Pelodiscus sinensis: one gene and its partner. The protein of the gene in region 1 binds, or shares a complex with, the protein of each later gene. Links are inferred from orthologs where the notes say so. Each region holds a gene or a part of one and is shown on either strand. Other genes may lie near its edges.

Region 1 (15,807 bases):
TGCATCGTGTGCTGGTTCAGGTAGTTTCATGGGTATGCAGGCCTGGTAGCTGCATGTGCGCCTTAACAGAATTTTCAAGGGTCAGAATGATCATGAAATGCTTTGGGTGAGCTAGACAGCAGCAAATTACATCTGCTTTCTGATCCTTCATCCAACAACCCTATACCAGAATCCCCCTTGAATATACAGCACGAAACATTTACCTGTATAAGAAAAGTGGAGTCTGACAGGAGTTGGATTTGTACAATTTCATTGTGTAAAGTTTCCACTCATGAAGACAGAAGGAGGTAGGCGCAAGAAACCTGGCTCAATACAGGGTTTTGATTGACTAAGCTTGAGGAACATCCTTAACAGTTATATAGAAGCGTGGAACATGGGATAAGGACATCAGATTTCATGTAGCAGTCTCACACAGAAACTGTGCCCTGGTGTGGTGTGAACTAGATCTAAAAACTGCTGCCCCTAACTTCCCAGTCTCTCCCCGATTTGTTACCCTGACGGGAGTAAGCTTTCATTTCCCAGCTATACACATAAATATGAGGTAATAATTGCTGTGCTACAGCAAATTCTCAAACTTATTAATGGATGTCACACAGTAGATATCTATCCTGCAGAGCTTCTGCTCTGTGAGACATCCATTAATGTAATGTCAGTCACTTCTATATAAGGAACTTGCTGACACAAGAGGTCAGTCTAGTCTACATCCGGTAGATGTAACCACATGGTAGAAGGAAACATGAGCAACTACTCTGCTCACAACCAAACAGGAGGACCAGAACTAGCATGAGGTAGTATCATTGAGTACCCAGTGAAGAAGACATGATTACAGAGCAAGGAAGCAAAGTGGAAGTAAAACCCACAGAGAAATTAATACAAGCAGCTGCTCTTGACAAAAACAAGGAAGAAACTGCTAGCTGAGATACAGCACTGGAAAAGAAAGAATAGAGAACTTTTTAGGTAAGAGACACAGCATATTGTCTATTGCAAACAGGAATCGGAGAGAAATTTATACATAAGACTAGCTCTAGTAAAATGTCAGAAGTACAACCAATTCCCCTTCCACACTTTATTTTATATCTTGAGGCTATGATGTAGATTTAACTGTTCTCCTACATCATACAGGCAAGGTCAGTAACAGTTAGGACTGTACATTCCAGTTAATCAGCTAAATGTTAGGTTGATGTAATATTTAGTCACTTAACTGAGCAGGAGCTGGGCTAGGGCCTGCTCCAGCCTGTGCCTAGGCTCCCCAACCCCCTGAACAGAGGCTATTGCGGATGCTGGAGCAGCCTGTCTGCAGGGTGCCAAGGCTGCCACTGACTGCTCTGCACAAGTGCAGCCCCTGCCTGCAGTGGCCAGGGAGCTGCTCCAGCCCCCACCAATCAACCAGAACTCATAAGCATTACCTATTTAAGCTTTCACATGAGGTAAGTAGTTTTAGAAGGGCAGTATCTTTGTTATGGAGCAAAGCCACCGCAGCTATGCATGCACTTTGAAATGGCATCTGCTGGGGGGAGAAAGAGATGGGAGCTAGCTTGGCTCAACTCAGACAAATGAAAGCAGTATAGTGCGAGTGGCCTGGAAGCTCTCCTATAAGAAAGAGGTATAGAACATCACCTTAAAGATGTTTTGTGACGCAAAACAAAGGAGGGCTAGAATAGCCTGAGTAGAGAAGCCCTAGCTTCCTGGTCCCTGCTTGCTCTAAGCTTTATTGTAAAAGTTGTGCACCACAGTTTTACAGCAGTGTTTCAGGACTAGTGCAGCTGTTCCAGCAAGGATCATGCTGAAAGCAGGGTAAAGAAAACATTCAGCACTTGAGGGTAAAGACCTATGTTCCAACCCTCTGAACTGTGACTGTCTGTGCCACTAATTCCGTTAGACACCACAGTCCATCAATGAAAAGTGCTAATACATTTTTAAAAAAGTGTTAATCACTCAGCCAGTATTCAACAAGAATAAATTCTAGCAGTGTTTTCCCATCTCTCTGAATTTTTAATGACATGTGTAGGTAAGTCCTTTATTCCAGACATCTAATCCTACCTGACATGCTTAGACTTTGAGTAGATTTTAATTGTGACAGATTAATGTCAAAGAGCTATCAGCTTGGCCATCCCATTACAAGATCACGGCCCAGGCAGTGTAGGATCATGCTCTGCCATTGGTTTGAGTAAGCATGTCATCACACCCTCTTTATCAGTGTAATCAATCCTGTAAAACAGCAGCTACCATAGTTTGTATTACACACAAAGTATACACATGAAGTGCCATAGTGCTCCTGTATCAGGAGAAAACCCTTTTTATCAAAAAAGGATAACTTGGGGGTAGTGCTACCAGTTCACAGTCCTGGTTTGGGGGGGGGGGGGGGGGGGGAAGAATCCAGAGTCCATTAGCGTACTGAATAAGTCTTTAACATGAAATTTGATATTCATCCTGCATGCAGGGTTAGTAAGACTCAGCATCTTCCTTAGGTACTATGTACCTGAAATGAAAAAAGGCAGCCCTGTATTTGTTCACCACATGACCAGGATCCAGACTAAGAGACCTTAAAATGTCTGGGGGACGGGGGAGAGAAGACTTTCATAGAGGGAAAACTTCAAAACGCATTACACTTGAAATGTAAAAAAAATATGTTTTCCCCCTAGACTAGACCTTGTTAACTTTGGTAGTTAGCCAATGTGTGAGGAATTTAAATTTAAAGGCTTACATTCTGAAAGACATTTAGGACTTCTCTAAGCTGTGACTCTCTGGAAACATTAAGGTGAAACACAAATTGTCTTCCAACACAATTGACAAAGAAAAAACTGATACAAAAAGCTTTTAAGCATGACAATGACAACTTACAGAACTAAAAATACCAGTTAACATTTAGTGTGTCCCTGTATGAAAAGCCTTCAGTATAGGAAGCGACAAGGGACACAGCATAGTACAACACCAAGGCAAGATGGAGAGTCTTTTACTTGCAAGTCCAGTTTTAGATTTGTTTCACCCTTTCCAATGGGGAAACTACAGCTCTGCACGAGAGATGAGGTGAAACAGATGCTCAGTCTATGGTTAGTCAGTTAAGTGAAGGCAGCACATGGAGCAGTTGGGTGGAAACTAGTCACCAGAAGAAAGGTTTGACCAGGAGATACAGATTCCTCCCACAAGCAGCTGCTCATTGATGTAAATACTTCAAGTGATGATCTGGGACTAAAGTCACTGAAAAGCGAATACACAATTTTCAAGATGGTACTCTTGGGGAAGAGTTTCAAAGTCCACACCCTCCACTGAAGAGAAACCCTGAAGTCCTGGTTATGGTCCAGTAACCTTTTGCTTTGGAAGTGTCCTTGTTTCAGTTCTCCATAAGCAGCCTTGCTATATTGGCAGGATCTGCTCTAGGACACTTTTGGAGGCCTGTGGAATTCTGTCTGGAAATTTTACTTCAAATTCTATAAAAAGGTCCCCTCGCTGGTCTGGATTCTTGGGATATGGGAGACCCTCTCCAGGGATTCGCCGCTTTATCCCAGGTTTAATGACATCCTTAAATACCATTGGGATGGTCCTGCCATCCAGCGTTGGCACATTCACTGTGCAACCACACAGGGCCTAAATATAAAAACAGGGAAATTAGAACAGTGTCAACATATACAATCTCTAGCAGATTTCCCAAACAACCAAATAGAAAAATGTTTCATTGCAATGGCCTGTTTATTCCAATTTGTTTCTTCTGAGTTACTGATGCAGGCACAGAGTAACAGTACCAGAAATTGTACAACTATGTTATATATTTGTACAACTGCTTGACCCACATTGAACTTTCAGTATCCAAACTGACCCACATCATTTTCAAAGTAGTTGCCAGTGATCTGCCATCTCTAATGGTGGTTTATACCCTTTGATTGTTCCACAAGGAAGTATCCTGAAGCTACCATCTTATTTTAGGCAGACCACAGAAGAGTTAGGCAGGTATCCTATTATGGATTAAAGCCAGATACGAAACAGGGTGCAGATAGATCTCAACACTTGTCACTTCCACTAGCCAAAACCCAACCCAATCCACCCACTAATCCCATACTGAATCTGGAACCTTTGCTTACCTCACGGAGGCTGATCTTAGCTGGGAAAATAATGTCAGATCCATCTCTCTTAAAGACATTGTGTGGCTTGTCTTTTAAAACAAAGACAATGTCAGCTGGAATGTTGTTTGCTGTTTGGTCCCCCTCTTTTGGAAAAGTAATCTTTGTTCCTTCTTTCCACCCTCGTTTGACTTCAATGGTCAGAATCTTGTCCTCATTCCGTGTGGTCTTCCCATCTGTATTAAGTCGTTTGTGAGATATTTTCATTTTCTTGGTGCAACCAGTATATATTTCCTCCAAGGAAACCCTCAGTTCATGAATGACAGGAGGGTCTTGTTTTTTGCGCATACTTTCATGGCCCGAGCGGGAACGAGGGAAACCCATATTACTAAAGCCCCCCATTTGAAATGTGGAGAAAGGGTCATCAACATCCATGTCTTCATCTCCATTCCTTTGTACAAAAAAGGTATCAAATGGGTTCCTGCCACCAAAGAACTCTGCAAACATAGCATGAGGATCTCCATGAAACGTGTAGCTGAATGAGGTACCATTGGAACTTCCGCCACTGCTGGGACCACCTCCCTTTAGTCCTGAAAAAACAGAATGAATATAATCCAGTGATTACTCATAAGAATTTATTAAACTCAAGATTTACCAAATGTCTCCTATATCTTTCTTAATTTCAAGACTCTCCTCATTCTTAGATCCTGGGAATGTCATTATTTAGAACTTTAGGTTTGATGTGCATCACCAAAGAGGCCTGCTGTCATCTTAAAATGGTGTCAAGATTCAGACCTCCCTAGTCAAAAAAGAAATTAGAGCCAAGTTGAAGAGCTCTTCTCTCTCAATTACTGAGTTTCCTAACATAATAATTTATAATCAACTGTATTCCTTTAATTGGCATTAAACCTAGCTCATCTATATAGAGCCATTGTAGCAAAAATAATTTAATCTGAGTGCCTGGAGACTACAACTATATTCTTCCTGCTTCAATAAAACACTGTTACGGAGCAAGTTTCATAATTTAACATACACAGGCAAACAAATACAGTATATTAGAATCTTCTAGTGACAAGCAAAACCATTCTGTAGTCAGCTCCGCCTCTTCTGGAAAAGTGGCCTATCAGCTCATATGGGGAAATCATTAAGTATTTACAGGAAAGGCAATGTAGAGAAACAAACATGGGAAGTCAGCAACTGAAAAGCAATTCAAAACACAAATTTTGGAAAATAATTTAAGGGAAATTATCTACAATTCTATTAGCTGGAAAAAGCAACTATTTTTAAAAAATATTAAAAATCATACTCTTTCAGCATCAGATGTTAACAGTTGAGTTGGCCAACCTAGCTGTTTAAATACAGAGAAATCTAGCTCCCTTGTTTGAGTAATCTAAATGGATGAGACTACACCCTAAAAAAAAAAAAAATCTGTACTAATGTTAAATTAGAGATTTGATGCAGACTTTTAATGCCTTAATTTGGAGGAAGTCAGGCAGGCTTTGCACATGGACTTCACAATAAGTCTCCCAAAGAGACTATTTTCCTTCCACTATTTGATCTGAGGAAGTGGGTCTGGGCCACGAAAACTCATTATCTAATAAACCATCTTGTTAGTCTTTAAAGTGCTACATAGTCCTGTATTTTGTTCAAAAGAGTCTGACACTTGTGTTTTATTAATAGTTTTAACAGGCTATGTTATTAATGCAACAGGACGCTCTGAGATAAAAGAAACTGGCTAATTCCTAAATTCACTAATAGGACTAGTTCTACTTCCTTTCACAATTAGCTCTGTACACATCTCCCTGTTACTATGAGTCTTATTTTTCTGACAGCCACTTCGCTATCCCATGCTACTGACAGTATCTACAGGCTACACGGGAAAGCTGAATCCCTTTACTGTACATGCCCATTCAGGGTTCAGTACTGTTCCCTGAAAACCAACTAGATGCACTCCTTTCCAGACAAAAATGAATGAATTTCAGAAGCAAAGGATTAAAGAGAGACTAGCCACTAGTAAATACTTTGCTTCTCTGTCACTCCCTGGATTGCATCAAGAAAGAAAACCACTCCATCTTGTGTGTAAGAGATACACAGTTCCCTCTCCACAAAGTTTGGGAGTGCCCCATTAGGACATATGTTCCTCTTCCCCAATCTTAGTGCTACCCCTCACTTCATGGAAAGTACTTCCAGAATACCCAGCAGCATGACATTCAGCTATTTCTAACCACCTCCTTCCTACCTATCACCAGGTACTAAGCTGCATCAGAATGTCCTTCCCACGGGTATGCGGTCTTCCCCGGAACAGGGCCTCCTCGCACAGAGGCTCTGCACCCCAAACCTTAGCGCACCATCCCCCTGCTTACCAGCCCCCCCCAGCGCTGCACCGCTGAAAGACAGCCCCCCCCCCCGCCTTCTTCCCCAGAGCCCCAGTGTATAGGGCGTCCCCCTCCCCCCATCACGTCAGCGCCCTTCGCCACACCACGGGGGCAGCCCCCCAATTCCTGCTGCGCAGCCCCCCCATCCACAGCGAGCGACACACGCCCCCTGCCCCATCTCCCCCACCAAGCTCTGCCGGACCCCCCCGCGGCCCGCGCCCACACGCCGCCCCTCACCTTCCTCGCCGAACTTGTCGAAGATCTCCCGCTTCTTGGGGTCGCTGAGCACGTCGTAGGCCTCGGCGATCTCCTTGAAGCGCTCCTCGGCGCTCGGGTCCTTGTTCTTGTCGGGGTGGTAGCGCAGCGCCTGCTTGCGGTAGGCCCGCTTAATGTCGTCGTCCGAGGCGCCCCGGGACAAGCCCAGCGTCCGGTAATAGTCCTTGCCCATGGCTCCCAGCTGCGCGTCTCACACCCCGTCAGCGGTTCCCGTCACTCCAGCGCGGCGCCCGCCGCCACCCCCCATTTATATGACGGGTGGCGGAACCTTCCAGAGCTCGCCACAGCTCTCCAGAACCTTCCCCGCCCGGACCCCGCCTCCCGCCCGCCTCCCCCAATCACAGCGCGGGGCCTGCCGCTCTCCGCCAGTGGGGACAGAGCCTGCGTCACGTGACCGCACACTTACCCCCCCCCCAGAGCTTAACCGTCGCTGAGACCACGCCCCTCACTCGTCATCAAGTGAGGGGTGGGAAGGGGACAGAAGCGCGCGCTGTGAGACCAACGGTCGTTGCCGGTCACTGTCCCGACTCCCCCCACTCTCTCAGGCCGCGAGCCTGGTGGGACCAGTTGCCGACTCTCCGAGCGTTCTCGCCCCGCCCCCAGGGGGGGCGGGGCCGAGCTGAAACCCTAAACATCAATTCTGCCTCGGCTTTCTTTTGCATCCTAGGCACTGACCACGCCCACCGGCAAAAGCCACGCCCCGGGGTGGGCCTTTAGCAAGGAAAGGAGCAGTCTGGAGCCACGCCCCCGCCCAGTGCATCCCTCATCCCATGTCCCACAGCCCCCACCAGCATCCCTCACCTAAGGTCAACCCCCCCCCCCCCCCCCCCCCCGGCTAGTGGCACCCACCCCATCAGGTCTCACAGGCTCGCCTTCCCCTCCAAAGGCGCCGGTCATTAGGGATGTTAAAATACGTGTCATTTGGTAAACGTTCGGTTACACGCCGGGCACAGCCAGCTCCCAGGTGCAGGTGTGTGCTGGGAACTGAGTACAGGCTCCTGTCTGTTGCCCCCCTCTGCTGCCTTCACCAGAGTGCAGGGCAGCAGGAGGGTCCCTGAGACCTGTGTGTAACTGTTTGGGTAACCAATAACTTACGCTTACGCTTGCAACCCTACTCATCCGGATTCCAAACCTGTCACCTCCTCACCAGGGACATCCAGCCCTGGATTCTGTTTGTTCAAGTTTATTAAAGGACTCCCAGAGGGGAGATAGCACAGGATGTTTGGGAAGGGGAAGGCAAAGGTCAGAGTACCCGAGCTTGCAGAAAGCTGGAGCTTATATTATGCAAGTCAGAATGGCCATAGAGTACCGCACACAGGACTCTGAACCCAGCCCAAAGGGTGCTGCAGAGCGATGAGGAAAGAGAGGCAGGGAAATGCATGTAGGCAGGGCCGGATTAAGGTAATGAGGGGCTTAAGGCTAGTGGGAGGGAAGGGCCTAAGTATGAATTATATATTGCAAAAAAATTATGAAGTCATCAAACATTTATCTTTATACATATTTACATAAAACTAAACATTTATTCTACTCCCTACACTCAAACCATTTCTTCCCACTTTAGCTGTGGAAAAATCTGAATTATGTCATCATAGTTCTCAATGCTCCAGAAGCACAAAGCACTGAGATGCTCTTGAGTCACAGTGGATCAGAGGACATTTTTCACCCTTGTTAGAAAAGAAAAGGAACATTCTCCACTATAAAAGCTTAAAAAACCTCAACAATGGTCCTGTAACACCTTAGAGACTAACCAAAACAACTCACTTCTTCAGATGACAAAAAAATGGAGAAAGGCACAGAGCTTCAAATACAGTAAAAACTGTGTTATCCAGCATGCTCGGGGATTAACGCGTTCCGGTTATCTAAAAATTCCAGTTGTCTGAGGGTCCCATCAACCTAGGAAAAACCAATGGACAATAATAGTAAAACTCAAGTTTTTAATATTGGTAGTTTTGTAGTGTGAGGCAGTTGGTCTCACATTTCTATTTTGAGTTAAAGATTAGTACTTAAATAAAAAATTGTTAAGGCAATCAGTAAACTAAACCAGGCCTGTGTGCCTGAATGTGTGACAGTATTGTGGCTGGGGGCAATGCCAGTTAAAGTTTTCTAGTTATCCATCACTCTGTTAACAAAGGTTTCACTGTAAAAAGCAGAAAAAGAAAGAAAAAGACGGAAAAAAAAAGTCAAAGCATCTCTCCTAAATGAGGCTGAGTGGGTGGGATTATGATGGGCCAATGGTTAGAACAGAAGAGTGGGAACAAGGACATATAGGTTTTATCTGATTTGGGGAGTATGCTTTGTGATTAGACCAGCGCACTGGGAACCAAGACTATGACTCATTGTATGACCTAGGGCAGACCACGCCATCTCTGCCTCAGTTTGCATATCTGGAAAATGGGTACAATTGTGGTAAGGGTGAGGTTTCTGTAGTGTGACAAGCACTCGGTGAACTTCTGATACAGACCATCTGTCATTGCCTAGTTGCATGCTGTCTGACTGGCTGGACGTGTGGGGTAAAATAGGTGTTAGCCCACTTCACTAATGGTAACACTGGAAATTCTTTGCTCTTACTGAGCTTCTCATCAGCAGAAATCAAAGCATTTGCCAAAGGAAGTCAGTATTACAAAGGGGCAGTGCAAGATGCTGCCCCTCTGGTTCGGGCAGATTTTGACAAGCTTTTGAGAATGCAAGCTCTTTGGATCAGAGAGCATGGCCAAGAATCTGAGCTGAGTTACACCAGTGCAAACTAGGGACACAGATCTTGCTGGGTGGAAGGGCAGACATGGGGGGGGGGTGTTTCTGAGCAAAGCACCTCCCGGTTGCTGTTTGTTCCATGGTATCCAGGCACACAAGACACTTAACTAACCAAGGTCACATGGTTAAAAGCTGCTTCCTCCCAGATCCATGGTAGGGAGCAGGGCTGCCTATTTTGAAATGTACAAGAGTCCCCAGTGGGGACTCCTATGCATTTCAAAGGGAAAGTGCTGCATGGAGCCTGGGATCAGCCCCACTGGGTACTCTTGTACATTTCAAAGGTGGAAATCCCATTGACTATTCTATTAGTTAATCAAAATTTAACACCCCAAGTGTAGAGCAATTCATTTGAGCCCCTTATTTTCCTATTTAAGTGGCTACCATATCATTGGTCCTGTGATGTAGAACATGATTTGCCTAACAGCGGGGAAGGTGAATTGTCACAGGAAAATGGAAAAGGAGAGGCTGCTGGTTGGAAGAAAACATGTAGAAATACAGGTTCTGCTGCTGAAGATAATGCTCAGGGATTGCATCCCCAGCTTTCCAGGATGGAGAAAGCCTGCCAGGAAAGAGATGGGTTGGTCTCAGCAGCTAAGGCAGGAAGAGTTGGAGGAGTGGCAGACAGGGAAACAGACCATCGGGGCTAAATAGAAGATGTCAGGTTTACGAAGCATACACAGAGTCCAGATGGAGGCTAAGAAGCAAATCTGTAGGGACAATGTGTGGTCACAGAGTTATGCTCTCCTGTAAGAGGAGGTGGGGCAGGCCACATCTGTACCATAATTAGCTGCTTTTCAGCCCAAGAGGGTAGGAATAAAAGGATCCAAAGACGGTTAATGGACACCTGCCTCTTAGTAAAGGGCTGAAACACATCAGTCACATCCAAGTAGCATCTTATCATGGGGGGATAGCTACCCCATAGTTCCTCCTGGAGGCCTCCAACACAACCTTCCTCATTGTCCTTTCCCCAGGTGGGGCTCCTCAGCTTTGCAGACACCAATCTATGCTGGAGATGTGGCTCAACTCTCCACTCCCATAGGAACAACCCGGCAGGACCCCAGAGGGTGGTTGACAGCTCTGGCCAAAGAGGGGCAACTCATGCATGAGCAGTCTGGTTATTGTGCGCTGTGAATCATTCACATGTGCCCTGGCCTAGGGAAGCACTGACTGATCACCAGGACAGCAGGTGAGGGAAAGGGGCAGTACAGATGCTTGCTGTAAGAGATTAACCCATTCCAAGCCCATAAAGGACCATTGTAGTCATTTAGGCTGACCTCCAGTATTATACAGGCCAGAGAACGTCTCTGGGCTTATTCCTCTTTGAACTAGAGCAGACATTGGAGAAAAACATTGTGTCTGGTTTTAAAAGTTGCCAGTGATAAAAATCCATGGCAACCAGTGGTTAATTACCCACGAGCTAAAAATGTGAGTAACTTCCAGCTGAATGGCTGTGTCTAGACTGGCCCGTTTTTCCAGAAAATCAGCCGCTTTTCCGGAAAAACTTGCCAGCTGTCTACACTGGCCGCTTGAATTTCCGCAAAAGCACTGACTTCCTACTGTAAGAAATCAGTGCTTCTTGCGGAAATACTATTCTGCTCCCATTCAGGCAAAAGTCCCTTTTGCGCAAAGCCTTTGCGCAAAAAGGCCAGTGTAGACAGCTCAGATTTGTTTTCCGCAAAAAAGCCCCGATCGCAAAAATGGCAATTGGGGCTTTTTTGCGGAAAAGTGTGTCTAGATTGGCATGGACGCTTTTCCGTAAAAAGTGCTTTTGCAGAAAAGCGTCCGTGCCAGTCTAGACGCTCTGTTCCGAAAATGCTTTTAACGGAAAACTTTTCCGCTAAAAGCATTTCCGGAAAATCAGGCCAATCTAGATGCAGCCCTCATGTCTAGCTTCAACTTATAGGATAATGTTAGACCTGTTTCTACTGGATGGAAGAGCCTGTTATTGAATACTTGTTTCCGATATCAGTATTTACTGCCCATAATCATGTTACCGTTTAACCTTCTCTTAGTTAAGCTAAATAAATTGAGCTCCCTGAGTCTATCCTTTAAGGCAGGTTTTCTAATCCTTTGATCATTCCTATCCCTCTTCTCTGAACCCCTCCAATTTATCCTTTTGAATTGTGGGCACTAGAACTGGACACAATATTTCAGTAGTGGTCAAACCAGTGCCGGGGTCAGAGATGCAATGAACTAGAGGATGGAAGCCAGAAATCAGCATTCCTCAGTTGGGTTCTATACCTGATTCTGGTTAGAGCAGGAAGGGCTGGAAATCAGGACTTACATAGGAACAGCTACATTGGATCAGATTAATACAGGCAGTCCCCGGGTTACGTACAAGATAGGGACTGTAGGTTTGTTCTTAAGTTGAATCTGTATGTAAGTCGGAACTGGCGTCCAGATTCAGCTGCTGCTGAAACTGACCGCCAGTTCTGACTTACATACAGATTCAACTTAAGAACCCCAAGTCAGCTGCTGCTGAAACTGATCAGCAGCTGATTCCAGGAAGCCCGGGGCTTCCTGTAGTCAGCGCTGGTCAGTTTCAGCAACGGCTGACTTGGGGACGTCTGGGGCAGAGCAGCTGGGGTGCTGCTGGGTTGCTCCAGTAGCACCGCTCCTCGGCGCTACTGGACCAACCCAGCAGCACCCCAGCTGCTCTGCCCCAGGAGTCCTGATTCAGCAGCTGCTGAAACTGACCAGCAGCGGCTGAATCAGGACGCCTGGGGCAGAGCAGTTGGAGTGCTGCCGGGTTGGTCCAGTAGTGCCCAGAGCGGCGCTGCGGGACCAACCGGCAGTGCCCCAGCTGCTCTGCCCCATGGTCCACAACAAAAGCCTGGTCTGCTGGGGGGGCACACTAGCTGCGCCCACCCCCCAGCAGACCAGGGACACAGGGAGCAAAGCGGCGGGGGGGGGGGGGCTGCCTCGCCTCTGAGGCTTTGTTCTGGCGCCGGACCGCTTTGCTCCCGGTGCCCCTGGTTTGCTGGAGATGGTCCCCAGCAGACCAGGGGCACCGGGAGCAGCTTTTCTCGCCCCGGAGCTCCAGATGGCTGACCGCTGCCTGTGAGCTCCGGGGCGAGAAAGCCCCGTTCGTAAGTGCGGATCCAACATAAGTCGGATCCGCGTAAATCGGGGACTGCCTGTAGTTTAATTAGTCCAGTCTCCTATCTGAGGGCATGTCTACACTGGGGAGTTATTTTGAAATAAGGCAAGCGTCCATACTACCAAGCCAGTTATTTCAAAATAACTCCTGCTTGTGAAGAGGAATAAGCTTATTTTAAAATAGTTGTTTTAGGAGTTATTAGTTCAAAACTTATTTTGAAATAACCTGGTAATGTAGACATAGCCTAACAGTGGCCAGTTCTAGAAGCTTCTGAGATTTAGGGACAGATCTAGCATGGAGTTGCATACCTGACTACCTGGGCTAGTAGCCATTTATGGACCTAGCAGCAGGAAATTCTCTTTCTTTTTTGAACCCAGTTATACTCTGACATCCCCTGGCAGTGAGTTTCCCAGGCTAACTGCTTGAGTAGTGCAATATTTCCTTATGTTTGTTTAAATCAGCTCTCTGGTAAGACTGTTCTGAGTTCTCTACCTGGCTCTAGGAGAGAGGTGGGTCTACTGAACAGAGCATGGAGGGCCCACGTGTCAGGATGACTGGGTTCTACCCTTAGCACTAGAAGGGAGGACAAAAAGTGCTGCTCTCTGCAGCTTAACTTAAAGAGATCATGGACCATAATGATGGGCATGGTATAAAAACTAAAGAGACCTGCAAGGGTTCAGGGAGGTAACAAATAGGTGAGTGACGTGATGAGCTGGGTAATTTTGACCTCGTTTCTCAGATAGCTAGAAGACACAAAGGGGATCTTTGGGTTGCACGAATTCTGTCAGCAGACCCAGACACCCTGCCTTTCCAGGGTGACCCTTGCAGAAGGCTATAGGTTTCCCCCTTCTCTCTGCAATGCACAAGTAAAGCTGAAGTTTTCACCATCTCGAATGTAAATGCAGAGCTACTGGCTGCATCTCCCAGCTGGGGCTTGGAATCTTTCACTTGTTTCAAGTCACTTTGAGCAGAACATGACCAAGGGAGCAAAATGCAGCTGGAGAGGGAAGGTGAAGCAGCAGTAGCTTGATTAAACATAGGATGCAGAGCAGATTCTGTCCACAGGGAGCTTGGACCCCACAGACAGGGGCTACTGTCACAGACAGAGGCTGCTTCATGGCAGCCTCCCTGGCCCCCACCCCTGCACTGCTTTAGAGACAACAGCATCGGGGGGAGGGGGGAACAGGCAGCACAGCAGAGCTAGTGCTGAGGGGGAACTGTCTTTTAAGCTGCCTTCCCCCACCCCCACTGCCTCTATAGGAGGCAGCAAGGGGGGAAAGGTAGATCTGCAAAGCCAACGCATGCAGGGAACCTGCTTGAAAGCTGTCTTCCCATGAGTATTGGCTCCAGCCTGCCCTCCTCACCCTCCATGCTACTGCCTCTCTATCAAAGGCAGCAGCACAGGGGTGGGGAGGCAGATGAATCCAGCGCTTGTGGGGAGCCTGCTTAAAGCCTCACAGGCACTGGCTGCCCCCCACCACTTGCTGCCTCTGATACAGTTAATAGGGATGTCAGCAGTTAGTTGATTACACTAACAGAGATACTGTTGTCCCCCCACATCCTCTCCCCTGCAGAAGAGAGGCTGCCTCAGGCTATTTCTCCCGTTGTGGAATCCTTTCATTGGAAGATCTGCAATAACAAGCAGGGCAGATTACTTAGGTAACACACAAAGGTCTCTGCACTTCCCTTTCAGGTTTGCTAGGCTCTGACTGCTCCTATGGTCAGAGTTCCCTGTAAGCGGAGCACTTGGCCCTCCACCCAGGAGAGATTCAAATGCTGCCCAGCTGATCAGCAGAGCGCCCACAGCCGGCAACATGTTTCAACTGGTGGGCTGCGTCTAGACTGGAAAGATTTTGTGCAAAAACTTGCTAGCTGTCTATACTGGCTGCTTGAATTTGCACAAGAGCACTGACGTTCTAATATAAGAATTCAGTGCTTCTTGCGCAAATAGTTTGACGCTCCCGCTCAGGGATAAGCCCTCTTGCGCAATAATACTTGCACAAGAAGGCCAGTGTAGACAGGCACCTTCATTTTTTGTGCAAGAAAGCCATTTTAGCCATCGGGCTATCGGAGCTTTCTTGCGCAAAGGCACGTCTATACTGGGCACGGATGCTTTTGGGTAAAAGCACTTTTTGCGCAAAAGCATCTGTGCCAATCTAGATGCTCTTTTGCGGAAATACTTTTAATGGAAAAACTTTTCCGTTAAAAGTATTTCCGCAAAATCATGCCAGTCTAGATGCAGCCAAGTTATTTTTAAAAGTGAAAGTGAAACTGAAACAGAGACTAGAGGTCATGGAGGGAAACCATAATACTGTCAGCAAACCATAATACTATCAGGCTACGTCTACATTGGCCCCTTTTCCGGAAGGGGCATGTTAATTTCACGAGTCGCAATAGGGAAATGCGCGGGGGATTTAAATATCCCCCGCGGCATTTAAATAAAAATGTCCGCCGCTTTTTTCCGGCTTTTAGAAAAGCCGGAAAAGAGCGTCTACACTGGCCCCGATCCTCTGGAAAAAGCGCCCTTTTCCGGAGGATCATATTCCTACTTTGAAGTAGGAATAAGATCCTCCGGAAAAGGGCTTTTTTTCCAGAGGATCGGGGCCAGTGTAGACGCTCTTTTCCGGCTTTTCTAAAAGCCGGAAAAAAGCGGCGGACATTTTTATTTAAATGCCGCGGGGGATATTTAAATCCCCCGCGCATTTCCCTATTGCGACTCGTGAAATTAACATGCCCCTTCCGGAAAAGGGGCCAATGTAGACGTAGCCTCAGCGTGTCATTCCAAGCAGTCTCTCCTCCTTGGTCACTGTATGTGACTGACTCTGCTTGTCTAGGCCGTAGACATCACTCCTCTCCCAGCTGGAAATGAAATCCAGAAGTCCTGACTTCCAGCCATCTGCTCTAACTGGAGCCCCTGCTTTACTATTAAGATGAAGATTCCAGCTGGATTATCTGTTTGCTGTAACATTTGTATCAAACCATGCTGAAATTCTGCTCTTAAAAGTAACTGTAAATTTGGCCCATAGATCTACTCCTCTAGCATTCACCAGTCAGAGCTTCTGATGCTAGGGTCTTGCTGGATTTTTCCTGTTAGGGGGAGGAATTGCTGCTCTGAGGCATAGCTATTTTCGAAGTGGTGTGTGTGCCTGGACACCATGGAACAAACAGCAAAAGGGAGGTGCCTTGCTCAGAAACCTCCTCCCCCCATGTCTGCCCTTCCATCCAGCAAGATCTGTGCCCAGGAAGCACC
Region 2 (15,822 bases), on another chromosome or scaffold:
CTCCACAGTTCATAGCAGCGCCAGCCCTCAAGTTTCGAGGCTAGAATTCCTCACTCCCCCAATCCAAGGCAACACTCACATCCAGTTCAGAAAGGGTCTGTGTCCACCGATAGTTCGGAAGGTCAGCACCATTCCCAGAGTTTGGTTTAAGTTTTCCTTTATCCTTCTCATCTTCTTCCTCGTCATCCGTCTCCTAAACAGACAACTGAAGCATCAGTAAAGAGATTTTCAAGCCCGCATATACATTTCACTAGTAAGGATGGCTCTTTAAACTCATATGGGACATTCCAGTTAATGATATGTTCAATGGCCAAGGCACGCCATGCAGATCCAGTAGAGAATTAGAAGGCAGATATTTCCTTTCAAAGCATCAGATTTTAAAAAAAAAGAGAGACCATCCTTGAGAATCAGTTGCACGCTCCAATTGGGCAGGGGGTACAGATGGCAGAAGCACTGTAGATCTCCAGTGCCCACTCAAAGACAGGGGACACTTCACCCTTTTCACTCCTCCCACACACTGAGAGGCCATGTCAGTGCTGGACTGCTTCACCTCCCCAGAACTGAGGAAGTCTCTAGGAATATATTACCTGTTTGCTAGACTCTGGAGATTCTGTTGGATTCTCAGAGGGTTTCATGGAGACTTCTTTGGGCTCATCTTGTTTTTGTTCTTTTTTCTGTTAAAAAAAAAGACCCCCCCCCCCCAGAATAATTATCTGATGTCTGAGAAACTGACAAGTGAAACCTACCGATACAGCACTAGGTGACCCCATTTCCTTCTTTAGAGTTAGAAGTTACAGGACTGTGCATAACTCACAACTACAGGAAACTTGGGGACGGGAGGGGATTGTCAGCCCTACTGCACCCTGTAACAGGAAAGCCCCACTTTCTGAAAGGCAGACTGGAATGGCCTCTGCCCTCCTCTGCTCCCTTTCCCAGTGTAATCGCACAGACAGTAAGTCAAACTGCACCAGAATGCTCAGTTGCAATAAGAGCATGAACCTTCTAGCTGCATTATACCAGTCACTCCTGATTGGGTTGCATACCAGCCAACAGCTCTAGCTCCAGTCTCCATTTAAACGGTAGATGGTGCACACCCCCATGCTCCCCATACTGAGCTCTTACCTGGTCGATTTCCTGTTGTAACCTTTCTGCCTCTTCCTCCGTAAGCTCCTTGATCCTCGGCTCATTATCTTCCTGCTTCTTTTCTTTAGTGAGTCTGGCAGCTCGCTCTGCCTTTTCACGCTGTTCTGCCTCTTGCCGGGCCTTTTTCTCCTTCCGCTCTTTCTGAGCCAACTTGTTGTGGTGGTTGAATGTCTCTGTGATCAACTAAAGGAAGGAGTCCAATGATAAAGGAGTTTTAAGAATTCACCATATTCCTGAACCTGAGTGGCAGCAACTGAAAGGAGACTCCATCTCCTTCATAAATCGACTGCAGAGCACAGACAAGTTCCTCGGCAGCCCTGATCTAGGGGTATTTCCCTCTCTTTTCACCGCACTATTTGAGAAGGATAATGGGGAAAGTTCAGAATACCTGCTGATAGGTGAAAAGGACTCTTGTGAGCCTGAGTCTCCAGTGGCCTGAACCTTACAAAGTGTAAAATTGGTTCCTGCGACCTGGCAGAGTTTAACAGCTACTTTGCACAGGTGACAGTATAATGGACCCTAATTTCTATACGCAGCTCTGTGCCACAGATTTGTGGTCTCACTTTGTACTATTCACGTAGACTCTGCCTTACTCATCTGTAAAAGAAGAAAAATACTGTCCTAAAACTCAGCGGGCTGGTAAGCTCTGATAACTAATGTTTGTCAATGTGTTGAGATCTACCCCACAAAAGTGGTGATAGAAGTAATAGGTGTTAAGAGTAGGTGTTATAATTGGATCCAGATGCTTTCCAAGTACAGTGCAGAAGGCCTTTCCCATCTGAAGCATGCCCATATACTAGATGGGCAACTATCCAATTTCATATTTAAATAGGAAGCTCGTTAGGGTGAAGAACTAGCATTCACACAGCTTTTTGTAAAGGAACTGCACTGTTGGCAGAAGAGGAACAGCAAAAAGAAACAACAAAAAGCTCTAGAAGCATCAATTTTTACCTTAAAGCTATAGTCTGTAAGAGAGATGTGAAAACCTAATTCTATTGGGTAGGAACAAGCTATCATATAACACTGCCCCAAAGGGCTCTCAGGTCCATCATCTTGCAGTGACTCAGGTGCACCAAGAATATGGAATCTGATGTAAATGGCTGCACTGCTTGGCGGGAGAGTTGAGTACATAGGCAGGAAGCCAGAGCAATAACCCAGCCATTGATAATGCCCAAGGTACTGTGCAAGGCAGCACGTAGTGAACACACAGTTCTGCTATAGGAGACACACTAGCTCTTTTGAAAGGAAAGAGCATCTAAGGAGAATGTCATGCGGGGCAGGTGGGAGCAACCCTGGTAATCATCATAGACAGAAGTTAAAAGGAGGGGAGGAAGAAATTCCTTAGATCAAAGGGTATGAATTTAACAAGAGGAAGATCCAAGAATGTGCTGGCACTTATCAAGGTGAACTGGGCCCAAAGCAGCTCACAGAATCTCGACCTCAGTTAATTATGGAACTGACTGCAGTCCGGGGAAGAAGGATACAATCATTAGTAAATCTTAGACCATAAGAATAGCTGTACTGGGTCAGACCAAAGGTCCATCTAGCCCAGTAGCCTGTCTCTTTATGTATATACCAGGAGTTCAGAACTCCCCCTGCTATGATATTTAATGGAGGTTGGAGAAGCATATTACAGGTTGAACCTCTCTAGACTGGCATCATCCAGGGTCCGGCATGATTTCAGTTAGCTGGATGTCCACTTAACATGGATGTGGCCAAGTTTCCCGCAGTGCCATAAAGTTTGTTTATAGCCACCAGTCCTGGCTCTCAGTGTTCTGTGCTGTTATTCAGCTCTAATATACCCCTAAATGTCTTCTAAGAGCCCAGCGATCAGTGGAAGCATTGGAAATCTTGCAAGACACTACTGACTCGCGGTTCGGCAAAATCTCTGGTTCAGCACTGCAGGTCCCGAGGGTGCCAGACTAGAGAGGTTCAACCTGTATTTGTCTGCAGTATGCCTAACCCACATCACGGGAGGGTCAGAGACTGAGATCAGGACCTCACACATAGCTGGCAGCACATGGCAGAGTGTTATACAACCATTTGTGGAACTGGCTCAGTTTCAAGTTTCTTTTGAAAGTTGGTTCAGCATTTGAGTAGCCATGAACAGAAGCACAAAAATCTATATTTGCATGTAGTATAATTTACTGACTGTACAGTGATTATCAAAGACTTGCTCCATAGTATGACTATATAAAAACAAGCACTCCAAGTTAGTCAAGCACAAAAAAGTTCTTAAAAAGAGGGAGGAGGTGTGTATTGTCACCCTCCACAGCTGCATAATTCCCCTTACCCTACCACTAAAGCTTCACCTTGCTGCTGAGACTATACACAAGACATTTCAGTCCCAAAGGAAACATTAAGAGTTACAAGGGGTAAAGGGAGAATGAGAGCGTGAAATAGGGGTTCTTCAAACCTTTGTTGGGGCACTGTGTTGCAAAAGGCAGAGAAGTCATGTTTTGCATGCAGCATCTTTCTGAGGATCACAAAACACTTTACCAGAGAATGAAACCTTAACTTCTTACGGATGGGGAAACTGAGGGAAACTGCTAAGTGATTTGACTTGCTAAGTAACTTTTGACAGTACAGCACAGAAGCCAGGAGTCCCAGCTTTTAGGTCTCAACTCTGACCATGACAGTGGGCAGCGTGCATACATTATGCAGCATTGACAAAGCCATATGGCAGTGCTTCTCAAACCCTGTGGCCTGCAGGCCAGCAGTGGTTGATAAAGCACTTGGCGGTGGCATGCAGAGAATTTGTTGATCACAATCTTCTGGTCGTTCCTTGCCTCCACTTGCTAAACTGAATTACAGCACCTGTAAATATATTTCATAATGTCCCAATATTTATTTATTTCATACAAAAATTCCTATAGTTGCCACAGAAGTTATCCAATAGCCAGTAGGAGAGGAAGTGATCTGTATGGAAATGAATGTTTCCATGAGATGCTGCTAATATACAAGCCACACCCAGAAGAAGTTTGGAACTGCTACTGCATAGCTAACTACAGAAGGCTTTCCGAAAGTTCTGAATACTTCATATTGGAGTGCTGAGATCTGTTCTGAGATTAAATATGAAATGCAGTATGTGGCAGTAGGGTCAGGCATGCCAGGAACCTGAAGGGTCCAGTTCTCTCACACCCACACAGTAACCACCAGTCTCATAGCCTTCAGCTCAGAGACAAAGTGGCAGTTATGTGAGATGGACTTTGTGTTTTCTCTGAAATGAATAAACAAGGTAACCTGGGGTTATTAAACCTGCGGTGTCTGACCCAGTCAAATCAGTGCGTCTGGCAGGCATGCTTTCCAAACAAGCCTTTGGCCAGAGCATAGCCCAAAAAGCCTGTTACCACTGCTCAGTTGTGGATGGGGCAGTTTATTATGACCTTGTTTCCTTAGTATATTTCAGCAGCATCACAAAGTCAGGCCCACAGAGCAGTAAAAAATAATCAGATGGCAATAGGAAAGCACAGAGGCAAAGCAATAACTGGAAAATCTGAAGAACTCATTTCTGTGGTCCACTGAGTGTTCCCAGACAGAGAATAACTTGCTCTGGGGATGGACGAAATCAGTCATGAAGATTTGGAGGAGGGGAGGGGAGTTACCTTCTCTGCTACTCCCTCTTCTCCGCCGACGAAGAAGTCAGTTTTGCGTCTGAGGAAACTGAAGAACGTGTTCACAAGCTGAAAGACAAAAGACAAGGTAGTTTCAGGAGACCCAAAATAAAGTTTCAACCTACTCAAAAAAGCCAAGGAAGAAAAAAAACGCAAAATAACTTTATTTTTGGCCGGCCAGAATACTAAACTGCCACCTGATCAACAAGAGATGCTAGTTCCCATCCGTACTTCTCACCTCAGTAAGGAGAAATGTTTGATGTTATGTACTGAAATCCCTAGCCAAGTCTACCTGAAGACCTGTTAAAGCTTGGAATCAAACCCCTGTACCTATTTCTCAGATAAATAACAATTAGTGCATTGTGCAAAGCTATGCCTTCTGAGTTCTCTACCTTCAAGAGATTCTCATGAGATTATACAAGACTGAAATTCTTTTTGGTGTCCCCTTCCCTTGAAAGCATTATGACTACTATAGCTACAGTGTGGGTTTCTAGAATTAAAACTTTAAAATGCCTATGTGAGGATATTTTTTTAAATGTTCATCTCTCATAATCTTAGGTCTTTTGCTTATATGATAACCCAGTATTTTTCTTGCATGTACTAAGTCATTCCTCAGCTCTGAGCAACACTGTAGTAGCTGTAGGAGACCTTATGTTATCAAGTCTCTTTTATAAAAAAAAATTAGATCACAACACACTTAAATATGAAGAATTATAAGTTGACTATATTATAATAATACTAAAATAAGAAGTAAAGCACCTGTAATTCAGTATCCTAGACTTCGGTTTTCTTGGTTTATCTGTAAAATTCTGTAATTCACAATGGCCAACAATGCAAACTAGGGACTTAGTATCTACCACACTGGTTTAGTAAAGCCAGGCTTTTGCACAGCTGCAAGTAAAGTCTGGAGATCTGAGTTGTTACAATCCCTTATCACCTGTTCCTAAACTTAGTATCTCAGTATCACATTTTTTATTTAAAAAATTGTTCAATCTGCTGGATGAGAGAACTCTTAAGTATCCTCACTTTCAGGCCATCAACCAAGCAATGCTCTCAATATCCAAGGAAAAGATAAATGTGGTGTTGGACTGCTTTGGTCTATTTTAAGATTAATTTTCACTAGGACTCAACAGAAGCAGAGACAAGTAGCTGCTCTAATTATGGCACAGCTAAAGAATAGCATTTTGCAAATGGTCCAGAAGCATGGGAAGCAAAAGGGAATTGCTTCAATCAAACATTTGATGGAGAAGCAGACTAGATTGCCATGCTGAAACATATCTATTTCTAGTTGAAAATTCCTGGGAGGTGGGAGAGGAAAAGCAACTAGTACGCACTGAGACTAAATCGCTGCCCGCACCTCAGCTGGAGCTAGGTAAGAGTTTAAACAATTAACCGATAAGCTCATGCTTATTGGTTCATGTTACCATTTAAACTCTGCTAGGGAGCAGGAGTGGGCAGCAGGCAGCCTGGAGCTTGTGGTGCCAGCAGCCTGGGGAGCCCGTTTAATTGTAACTATAACCGATGGACTTTCTATCGATTACACAGTTAATTTTTTTTAAACATAGTTTACATCCTAGCTGGAAGCTGTGCTATGTCAGTGCTGCTGTTACGGACTAACCCAGTAACTCTTCTGATACATAGTATCTCTTAGGAGTCCTAGGACACCTTAAAGACTAACAAATTTGATTTGGGCACAAGCTTTCATGGGCAAAGACCCACTTCGTCAGTTGCATGTTGTTACTACTGTTTCCCTGACTGATGTAGGCAGGTACTTGATCCAGAAAGCCACAGTAACCCAACCATCCTATTTATTTTCCTAGGTCATTTGAAACATAACGTAAGTCCTTGCAACACTTTGAGACGAGTGCCAGTAACAAAATCTATCTATAGTGGCCAAGAAACTGCTAGTGTTTAAACAATTTTGCTTGCATCATGGTTGCAATGCTAGAAGCTGAGATTGGATGACAGGAGATGGATCACTTGGTAAGTTGCCTTGTTCTAATCACTCCCTTTGAAGTACCTGGCACCAGTCACTGTTAGAAGATGGAGCTACGGTTCCTTTAGCCTAGTATCCTGACTCAGGGTGGTCATTCTTATGGGTACAGCATATCAAGGATAGGACTCAATGACATGAGTGACAAACATAAATCAGCCATATAGGACGGGCTTGCCAAGTGGCGGCGAGCCTCGCTCACCAGCTGTGCGCTGCACATGCAGACCATGTGCTGACCGTGCTGTGCGGCCGTGCTGTGGCGAGTAGATTATGTTAATTGTCAAGCCCTGCATATAGGTACTAATATATGTAATGCAGTTGTAGCTGGGATAGTCATTAGAGCATTACAGAGACAAAGCAGGTGTGCTGATAGCTTTTAGTGGACTCTTAGAATCATTCCTGGACTTGTAAAAGAGTATGGCTCCAAAGCTGCTTCTCTCTCACTAAAAGAAGTTTGTCCAAGAAGAGATTACCTCACCCAACTTGTCTCTCTAATACGGATACTCAGTATTTTTTATATTACATTTATATTACATTTTTATATTACAATTTCAACAAAAAGGGGATGTAATATAAAAAGTAACACCAGTGTGGATTTGTTCATCTTGACTGTCTATAAGGGTTCATGTAGGTTAACAGCACCATATCAATCAACTATATATTGAGAGTATGTGTCTGTCTCAGAACTCCTCCTAAACGGTAAGAGCTAGGACTACCAAATTTGGTATACGGCTTCCTCATATCATAACTTAAAGCACAGTAAAAGTTTGGTTGTGCCAGGAAAATGGGATGGGCCTGGAATGGGGTAGCATCTCATAAAAACATACAGAAAAGAGACAAATCACCAGAAAAGTGAAAGAGGCTGGCTGGGGGCATTTGCCCTGTCCAGGATTGCCACAACACTGAGCCTCCCACCCCTCAGGCATCCTTTAGAGAGGATGGGAGGAAGGGGTGAACCACGTCCCCCAACTCATACGGGACAAGGGAATGAGAATGGTTAATCAATTCATTAGTGGGGGCCGGAGCTGTTCCTTGCCCACTACAGGCAGGGGCTGCTCCGTCCCAAGGAGCCCAGCACGGGTGGGGAGTGCTCCTACCCAGCAGGAGCAGCCCAGCGACAGAGAGCCCACCCTGGACATGCCACAGGGGCACCCAGGCCTGGCCAGAGCAGCCCCTGTTGGCGGCAGAGGAGCTGGAGCGCCCCCACCCCCACTGCCGGTTAACCGTTTAAACACAACGTTAGCCAATTACATGGGGTTTTACATCCTCACGTGCGGGACGTTGCCAGCTGCTTCCCTTGGTCAGGGAGCGGGGGGGGGGGGGCAGTTTGCTGCAGCCCGCCCCAGAGCACGCGCCCAGGCGCTGGCGGTGTCTCAGAGCCCCCCCAGGCCCACGCAGGCCCGGCACAGAGCAAGGGGGGGGACGGCCGGGAGCGGGCGTTACCAGCCCCCCCCCACGCAGGCCCGCCACAGAGCGGGGGGGGGGCGGCCGGGAGCGGCCGCCACCAGCCCCCCCCCCACGCAGGCCCGGCACAGAGCGGGGGGGGGGCGGCCGGGAGCGGGCGTTAACAGCCCCCCCCCCACGCAGGCCCGCCACAGAGCGGGGGGGGCGGCCGGGCGTTACCTCCCGCACGCCGCCCTGGTGCTGCTGGGCCATGGCCAGGAGCATCCCGTCGAAACGCTCCTCCTGCTCCGCCGCCTCCGCACTCGGCCCCATCCTTGCCCGCCGCCACCGCTGCTCCCGCGGCCTCAGACCCTCACACCGGAACCGGAAACCCAGCCACCGCCCGCCAGCCAATCCTCGCGCCCCACGGCCCCCTCCCCGCTCGCTGATTGGCTGGAGCCGCGTCCTGTCATCGGAAAGGAGGCGGGAGTTCCACGCCGGGTTCCGCGCGTGGCGTTGGTTTCTATGGTGACCGGCCGCGTCCGGGGCCTTCCAGAAAAATCGGCGAGGCCGCGTGGCCCCGAGTGGGTAGGGAGTCAAAGGTCAGGTGTTATGGGGCATATCCACGTGGGGTGGGAGCCCTAGGACGGGTTGGGGGGGGGGAGGCCTATATTGGGGTCAAAGGGCGCGATGCCTCGGAGGGGTCAAAGGGCAGGAACCACGTGCCTCAGTGATCAAAAGGGGGGGACCCTCGTGGGAGCCCATATTCTTGGGGGGGGCCTCTGCCAAGGGAAGGCTGTGGGGGGAGGGGCACCAGGCGTCCTGCCAGGCCTCTTGGGCAGGGTGGCCAGGCGTGGCACCAGGGCTTCTCAGTCGCCCTCGGCGCCGCCCGCGTGCAACCCCGGGCATCCCAACCACACCGGGGAAGCTGGCTCTCTGCCGCTTATGGGCACCCAGATGGCTGGGGCAGAGCCTGCCTGCGGCGGGCAGGAGGGAACATCCTGTCCTCCAGAATCACTGTGGAAAACACCAGCGGCAGCACACGGGCCCCAGCGGAGGCACCCACCTCAAGGGTCAAATGCGCTCACCATAGTCATTTAAGGCAATGATTCTTAACCCTTTCCATGCTGCTGCTGTTAGTAACCCTCCCTGGTCAATATCATGCAGAGAGACCAGTAACCTATTTAGATGAACCTATTCACATTACTAAAATTACACTGTTAACTACTGGGAGAAGGGATCTGGAAGCTAGTATTTTCCTAAGACTTTCCATAGTTGGGTGATCTCCACTGGGAACTTCTAGTGACTGAAAGTTCCACTTGGCGCTACACTGGGTTCGTTGATGTTTTCTGCTTCTTTCTAAACATGTAGGCTACGTCTAGACTGGCATGATTTTCCGGAAATGTTTTTAACGGAAAAGTTTTCAGTTAAAAGCATTTTCAGAAAAGAGCATCTAGATTGGCATGGATGCTTTTCCGCAAAAGCACTTTTTGCAGAAAAGCGTCCGTGCCAATCTAGACGCATTTTTCCGCAAAAAAGCCCCGATCGCCATTTTCATGATCGGGGCTTTTTTGTGGAAAACAAATCTGAGCTGTCTATACTGGCCCTTTTGCGCAATACTTTTGCGCAAAAGGACTTTTGCCTGAACGGGAGTCGCATAGTATTTCCGCAAGAAGCACTGATTTCTTACAGTAGGAAGTCAGTGCTGTTGCAGAAATTCAAGCGGCCAGTGTAGACGGCTGGCAAGTTTTTCCAGAAAAGCGGCTGATTTTCCGGAAAAACTGGCCAGTCTAGACACAGCCCTCTTGCCACCTGCTTTCCTCCCACTCATTAACTTGCCTTCCAGACAGCCTGGCTCTTCCTTCCTGCCTGTTCTTTAGAATCAGGCTCCATGATCCTGGAGGGGTAGGGGTTTCAACTAAGTGACTTCTTCCTGCCCTAGAAGTTCCTCTGAGTCACGACACTCCTTGAAGCATGAAGACATAAACATCCATGTATGAACAGTATGATGCATCTAACCTGTCTATAAAACTGATGAAATCTCCTAGGAAACAAGGCAAAAAGTAAAAAGGCCCCATACGTCCGTGTTTCCCCCCTCCCTAAAACACACAAGATACTTGAGGCCCCAGCCTCCATCTGCTGCCCTTTGTAGTTCATTAGGTTTTTTTTTTCTTTATCTGCAACAACAGCAGCCTGTTGTCAACAAGGTTAAACAAACAACCTGCTGATAAAATGACTTCCAGGTTGCTCTTTCCAAGGCCAGAGTTTACAGGCTGTTTTGCTACTGGTCTCTTGCTCCAGACAAGGTCTGTGTGTGTGTGTGAACTCTTTGGCAATGACACCTGTCATATAGCATTGCATGATTACACACCTGGGGCCTTGGTGCCATGGTACGGGCTGGGTTAATGACTTTGTTTATACTGTTGGGTAATCCAGATAAGAAAGCCACTCAATCTGCCATCCCATCCCATCCTCCTGGCCCTAACTGGCACTTTCATTGAGAAAACCTTTATCTGCACCAGTGGAAGCTCCACTTCCCCAGCCAATCAGTACTGAGTTGAGTTGTTTTTCAATGAACGGTGCTTAGTTAAAGAGAGGTCAAGGCTGCTAAGGGGGTGTTTCACTTAGAGTCTTATAAATAGAGCCAGGAATAACAGCCAAAGGTATAAGAGAGGTGACCGACCTGGGAGCAGCAGGCTGCAGTCAGAGAGCTTTGACTGATACAGCAGCCTTTGCAAGGGACCAGGCGTGCTCACAGATCCACCCAGCCAGGTGCACAAGAGTCTCATCCTCCTTGGGACCTGACGGGATCCACTGGCCAGGCTCAGCAATGACTACATGCAGCATGGATCTGGACTATGAGAAATGCCAGTGCCACAGTGAGGAGAACCAAAATGCCATCCTCTACGCCCTCTTGAGCCAGAACCTGAACCACAACTGGGGCAGCCACAGCCCATCCCAGCAGCGCTGCCTGTGCCAGAAGCGTCGCACCGTCAGCCTCCGGACACCTCAGCTCACCTGCCAGGCAGCCTCAGATGTCCTTGTGAAAACAGTCAGCTTCATGAAGAACCTTCCCTCCTTCCAGCTGCTGCCTCGGGGGGACCAGCTGCTGCTTCTGGACAGCTGCTGGGCTCCACTCTTTATTCTGGGGCTGGTTCAGGAGATGGTGACCTTTGAGGTGATGGAAACCCCAGCCCCGAGCATGCTCAAGAGGATCCTTCTCGATGGCCAAAGGAAGAGACAGGAGCCTGAGAGGGCACAGCCCACCTTAGCTGGCGTGAAGAGGCTACAGTGCTGCCTGAACACATTCTGGGGCCTGGACCTGAGCCCTAAGGAGTATGCCTATCTGAAAGGAGCCATTCTCTTTAACCCTGGTGAGTGCCGAACCCTCACACCCCTTTCTGTTGGCAGGGACAGATGGCACGTCACACAAGAGTATCTAGCAATGAATAGCTGTCCATCCATCCAGGGAGCTCAAAGCTCTTACAAGCTAAGGATATTAAATATCGGGTAATTGACTAATTGAACAGTCAATGCATTTTTGCATCAACTGTTCAATTAGTCGATAGGGTGCCTCTGCCTTTGAAGCGTAGCAACAGTCGTTGCTTAAATTTGACACTTTACGACTGGGCCTCAACAAAGATGCTAATTATCTTACCCATTACGAAGATAGCTTCCCCAATTATCCCCTCTAATATCATTAGCTCACAGACATTAACCTCCCGCCCTCATCCCCCTTCTGTTCTGAAATGTGATTTGTCCTTTCTATATGTGTTCGCTTTTTTTGATTGTATCCCTTTGGTATATATGGTCATGCCAATTTTCTTCCACAATTTGATCTGAGAAAGTGGGTCTGGCCCATGAAAGCTCATCACCTAATAAACCATCTTGTTAGTCTTTAAAGTGCTGCATGGTCCTGTCTTTTGTTTCAGCTAGACCAGACTAACACGGCTACATCTCTATTACTAAGCTGGATGTAGTATCCCTATTTTAAAGACAGGCCAACTGAGGCACAGAGCATTTTCAGGGCTAATTTTCAGCTGTGCTGAGCATCTCCAGTTCCCATTGACTTTTGGAATTCAGGCTGTTAGTGACTTGCCCCAGTTGGTCACTTGCTTTAACTCACAAACCTTGGAGTCAACTGTGCTGATAGGGGTGGCTTATTAGTTTCGCAGTCTCTCAAACCCTAACCAGGGTTGATTCAGTTCTTCCTCTTTTTGAAGCAAATAAACTAAGTCCTATATAGTTTATTGTGATGGAAGGGACTATTTTAATCAGATTTTAAAATTGCGGTCTTGCATACCCTTCAGCAAAAAGAGGATCTCAGAGCATGTTTTTCTAGAGCTGCATTTTGCCCGAGCTGTATTGGTCAATATTTTTCCTCCCTTGATGTGTTACACACTAATAATGAACTGCTGCTCTCCACCTCAGACGTGGCTACGTTTCAGAGATGCTGCATATCTATAGCTAGTACTTTGGGATCCTCATATACTATGAAATGTAAGGAAACATGTTTATTTATCTGCCTGTGCCGGTGTGCAGGCAGTAGAAAGAAATCAAATTTGATTGTGAATCACTAGCAATAGCGGTGAACAAGCCTTCAGCAGAGGCACATGCAGGATAAGAGCCTGGGCCTGGGGCATAGCTTGGGAAGCAGAGGCTAATTTTCATTTGTATTTCCTGTTGTTTCTCTTTCCATAGATGTCCCAGGTCTCAGAGCCTCTCTGTACATCGAGAGCCTCCAACGGGAAGCACAGCGAGCGCTCCGAGAAGTCCTAGTGCCCCTGCACCCAGAAGACCAGGGCCGCTTTGCCCGCATCTTGCTGATTGCCTCCACCTTGAGATCCATTCCTCCTGCACTTATCACAGACCTCTTCTTTCGACCCATCATTGGCAATGCAGACATTATTGAGGTGATCACAGAAATGCTGTATGAAATAACCAGCCGGCGACTGACTCTTTCGTCACACACAGCCTCTTGAGAGATCACATTCAGGGCCACCCTCACATGCGCCTCCTGAGCACTGAGTTGAGTTTCAAGGGACAATAACATTAATATGATGTGGGGATTTGGTGGGAAAGATACTGTGGACTTTCAAACACACCTGGTTTTGTGTGTGTATTTCACTTGGGCTCAGGCAACAGCTTCAGCAGTTGAAAAGTGCAGCTAAGCCACATTCTAGAACATAGCTCTTATTTATTCAGCCCCTGTACAAACTGAACTCATAAAGCCAAATCATTTCTGAAGTGTGTGTGATTTTACTATTTCACTGCACAGTAAAGTAGAAAAAAAAGCATGGCCAATGTCCTTGAAACAGTCCTTGCAAAATAAACCTCTGGGCTGACATTTTCCCTAGGAAATATGCAGATCAGAGAAGCACTTCTTTGAGAAAGGAGGAGATTGAAGCCAGGGCTTTGTACAGAATGGAGTTTCCCAGTTTTACATGATAAAATTTCCAGAGAAAGACTCTGTTACATACACACACACACTCACAATCTGATTTTTAGATGGGCTCAGCACTCAGTCAGCCTTTTAGATGTTGCTCAGCACCTCTGAAAACAGGCCTGCAATAAATGATGGCTGTGTCTACACTGGCAAGTTATTCCGGAAAATCAGCCGCTTGAATTTCCGGAAAAGCACTGACGATCTAATGTAAAATCATCAGTGCTTTTCCGGAAAAACTATGCTGCTCCTGTTCGAGCAAAAGTCTTTTTCCGGAAAACAGTTCCGGAAAAGGGCCAGTGTAGACAGCACAGTAGTGTTTTCCGCAAAAAAGCCCCGATCGCGAAAATGACGATCGGGGCTTTTTTGTGGAAAAGCGCATCTAGATTGGCCACGGACGCTTTTCCGGAAAAAGTGCTTTTCCGGAAAAGCGTCCTGCCAATCTAGACACTTTTCCGCAAAAACTTTTAACGGAAAACTTTTCCGTTAAAAGCATTTTCGGAAATTCATGCCAGTGTAGACGTAGCCAAAGTGTTGGATTAGAGCTCCATATTTTGTGATTCAGGGTCAAATCCCAACCCCACTGAAGTCTATGGTAGTTCTGCCATTGATTTCACCCTCACAGACTATTCATACATCGGGGCCTAGTTCTGCAATCTTTAGTCACGCTGACCAGTACTTGACTTGAATGGAATTAAGGATGCCAGATAGTTTAAAAAAAATACCGAACATGGTAGGAAACATTTGGTTGAGCAAAAAAAACCCGGACACCTGGCAACCCTAAACAGAATCACTCATACAATGCTACCTAGTGCTGTGGAATCGGGCTTTTACATAGTACCTGCATGTCTGTGTTGCATGACCAGGTTATTAAGTGTCCTGGAGTCTTAAGGAAGTAGCCATTACACATCTATCCCTGTTTCAAACACTGACAGGCAAGGGCTGCACAATATTAAAGCTAAAAGAGTTCACAGAAACCCACGTTTTGCCTCCCTGACTCAAACTAAGTAGGCCTGGAGAAGAAAATGGGAGTATTCTGATTAGTGTTCTTTATGTTTGTACCACTGCTGTTAGGGTGGCAGAATCTACTACCCTTCGTTAAAGTGGCTAAATAAGGCTGCATTTTAGTGCTATTAAGAACAGGTAGGACTGATGAGCTTAAGTCCATTTGTGTAATGGTGAGTGATATTTCCGAGGTGGTACATGCCATAAAGGAGGAGCTATGTCAGTGGCTATACAGTCCATTCTTCAGCTGGGCATCTGCTTCCCAGACTACTTGATGGTTGCTCCTGCTCCCATTGTAGGTGCTGATCTATATAAAGAAAACAGCCTTTGCACAGAGTTCAGACATAAGTATTTGTGAGTGGATGTTAGTCTGTGATCTGTATATAAAATGCAGTAAATTATTTTTTTAAATAAAATGTTTTACATTTTGGAAAATGTTGGTTCTGTTTTGGAAGGTTTTTTTTGGTGTGTGTTACATTTTATTGAAACTTAGAAAAACCTGCCACAGGTCACATAATCCAAACATTCAAATGGGATGAGGCGCAGTCCCCAGAAAATCCCCATAGGAATGCATTCTATCTTAAACTGCAAAGCAAAATCAGTGTTGCACTTAAACATTGTTGGGGAAAGGTATCTGATTAATAGCGGTGGAGACCGAACAGGAAAATTACAGGCTGAAAAATTGCGACATTCCTCTGCGGTGCTTCTCGTCACCAGTCATACATCAATCCCATCCTGAAGGCACTGGGCCAAATTCAGGAGTGATGTGCAGTGTTCCCGCTAATCTTTTCCATTCACACATGGAATACATTTTGTTATGTGAATGAAAGCATGTGTGCATGTGCACCACCAATAGAAACACATGCTTCCAGCTGTGGGTGCTCTGCTAATCAGCTGGGCAGCATCTGAATCTCTCCTGGACAGCTGTCAAAGCCCTCATCTTAGTGTAAAGATGAGCTCATCTTAGCACTCATCTTAGCCCTGGTGTTCATAGAATCATAGAACCATAGAACTGGAAGAGACCGCAGAAGGTCATCAAGTCCAGCCCCCTGCTCTAGGCAGGACCAATTCCAACTAAATCAACTCGGCCAGGGCTTTGTCTAAGGGTGTTGTGTAAAGTCTCCAATACTCACTTAGGGTGTCTACACTAGAAATGATATAGTGGTGCAGTTGTAACACTGTAGACTCCCTCAGGTCTGGTCTACACTTAAAACTTGTCAGCCTAGCTAGATTGCACATAA

Evidence for each region.
Region 2: the proteins of DNAJB1 (region 1) and NUDC are in contact, whole or in part, in a crystal structure (PDB 7NDX), measured with the Homo sapiens proteins. The link is inferred for Pelodiscus sinensis from reciprocal best matches to the Homo sapiens genes DNAJB1 and NUDC. Residues at the interface, in NP_006136.1 of Homo sapiens: His166, Lys181, Lys182, Met183, Lys184, Ile185, Ser186, Asp201, Lys202, Ile203, Ile235, Phe237; in NP_006591.1 of Homo sapiens: Pro102, Gln103, Ile104, Lys105, Glu106, Leu107, Ala112, Leu115, Gln116, Ile119.

The regions. Positions count from the first base shown.
Region 1 is NC_134729.1:10,608,336-10,624,142, forward strand, and holds DNAJB1 (dnaJ homolog subfamily B member 1), read right to left. Parts: upstream 7,036-15,807; 5' UTR 6,879-7,035; coding exon 6,668-6,878; intron 4,646-6,667; coding exon 4,077-4,645; intron 3,586-4,076; coding exon 3,355-3,585; 3' UTR 2,801-3,354; downstream 1-2,800. UniProt on the Homo sapiens protein: Interacts with HSP70 and can stimulate its ATPase activity. Stimulates the association between HSC70 and HIP. Negatively regulates heat shock-induced HSF1 transcriptional activity during the attenuation and recovery phase period of the heat shock response.
Region 2 is NC_134735.1:2,376,476-2,392,297, reverse strand, and holds the start of NUDC (nuclear migration protein nudC), read right to left. Parts: upstream 8,534-15,822; 5' UTR 8,467-8,533; coding exon 8,374-8,466; intron 4,827-8,373; coding exon 4,749-4,826; intron 1,327-4,748; coding exon 1,123-1,326; intron 675-1,122; coding exon 588-674; intron 194-587; coding exon 80-193; intron 1-79. Other genes in the region: NR0B2 (nuclear receptor subfamily 0 group B member 2), read left to right, coding at 10,964-11,507, 12,835-13,115. UniProt on the Homo sapiens protein: Plays a role in neurogenesis and neuronal migration. Necessary for correct formation of mitotic spindles and chromosome separation during mitosis. Necessary for cytokinesis and cell proliferation.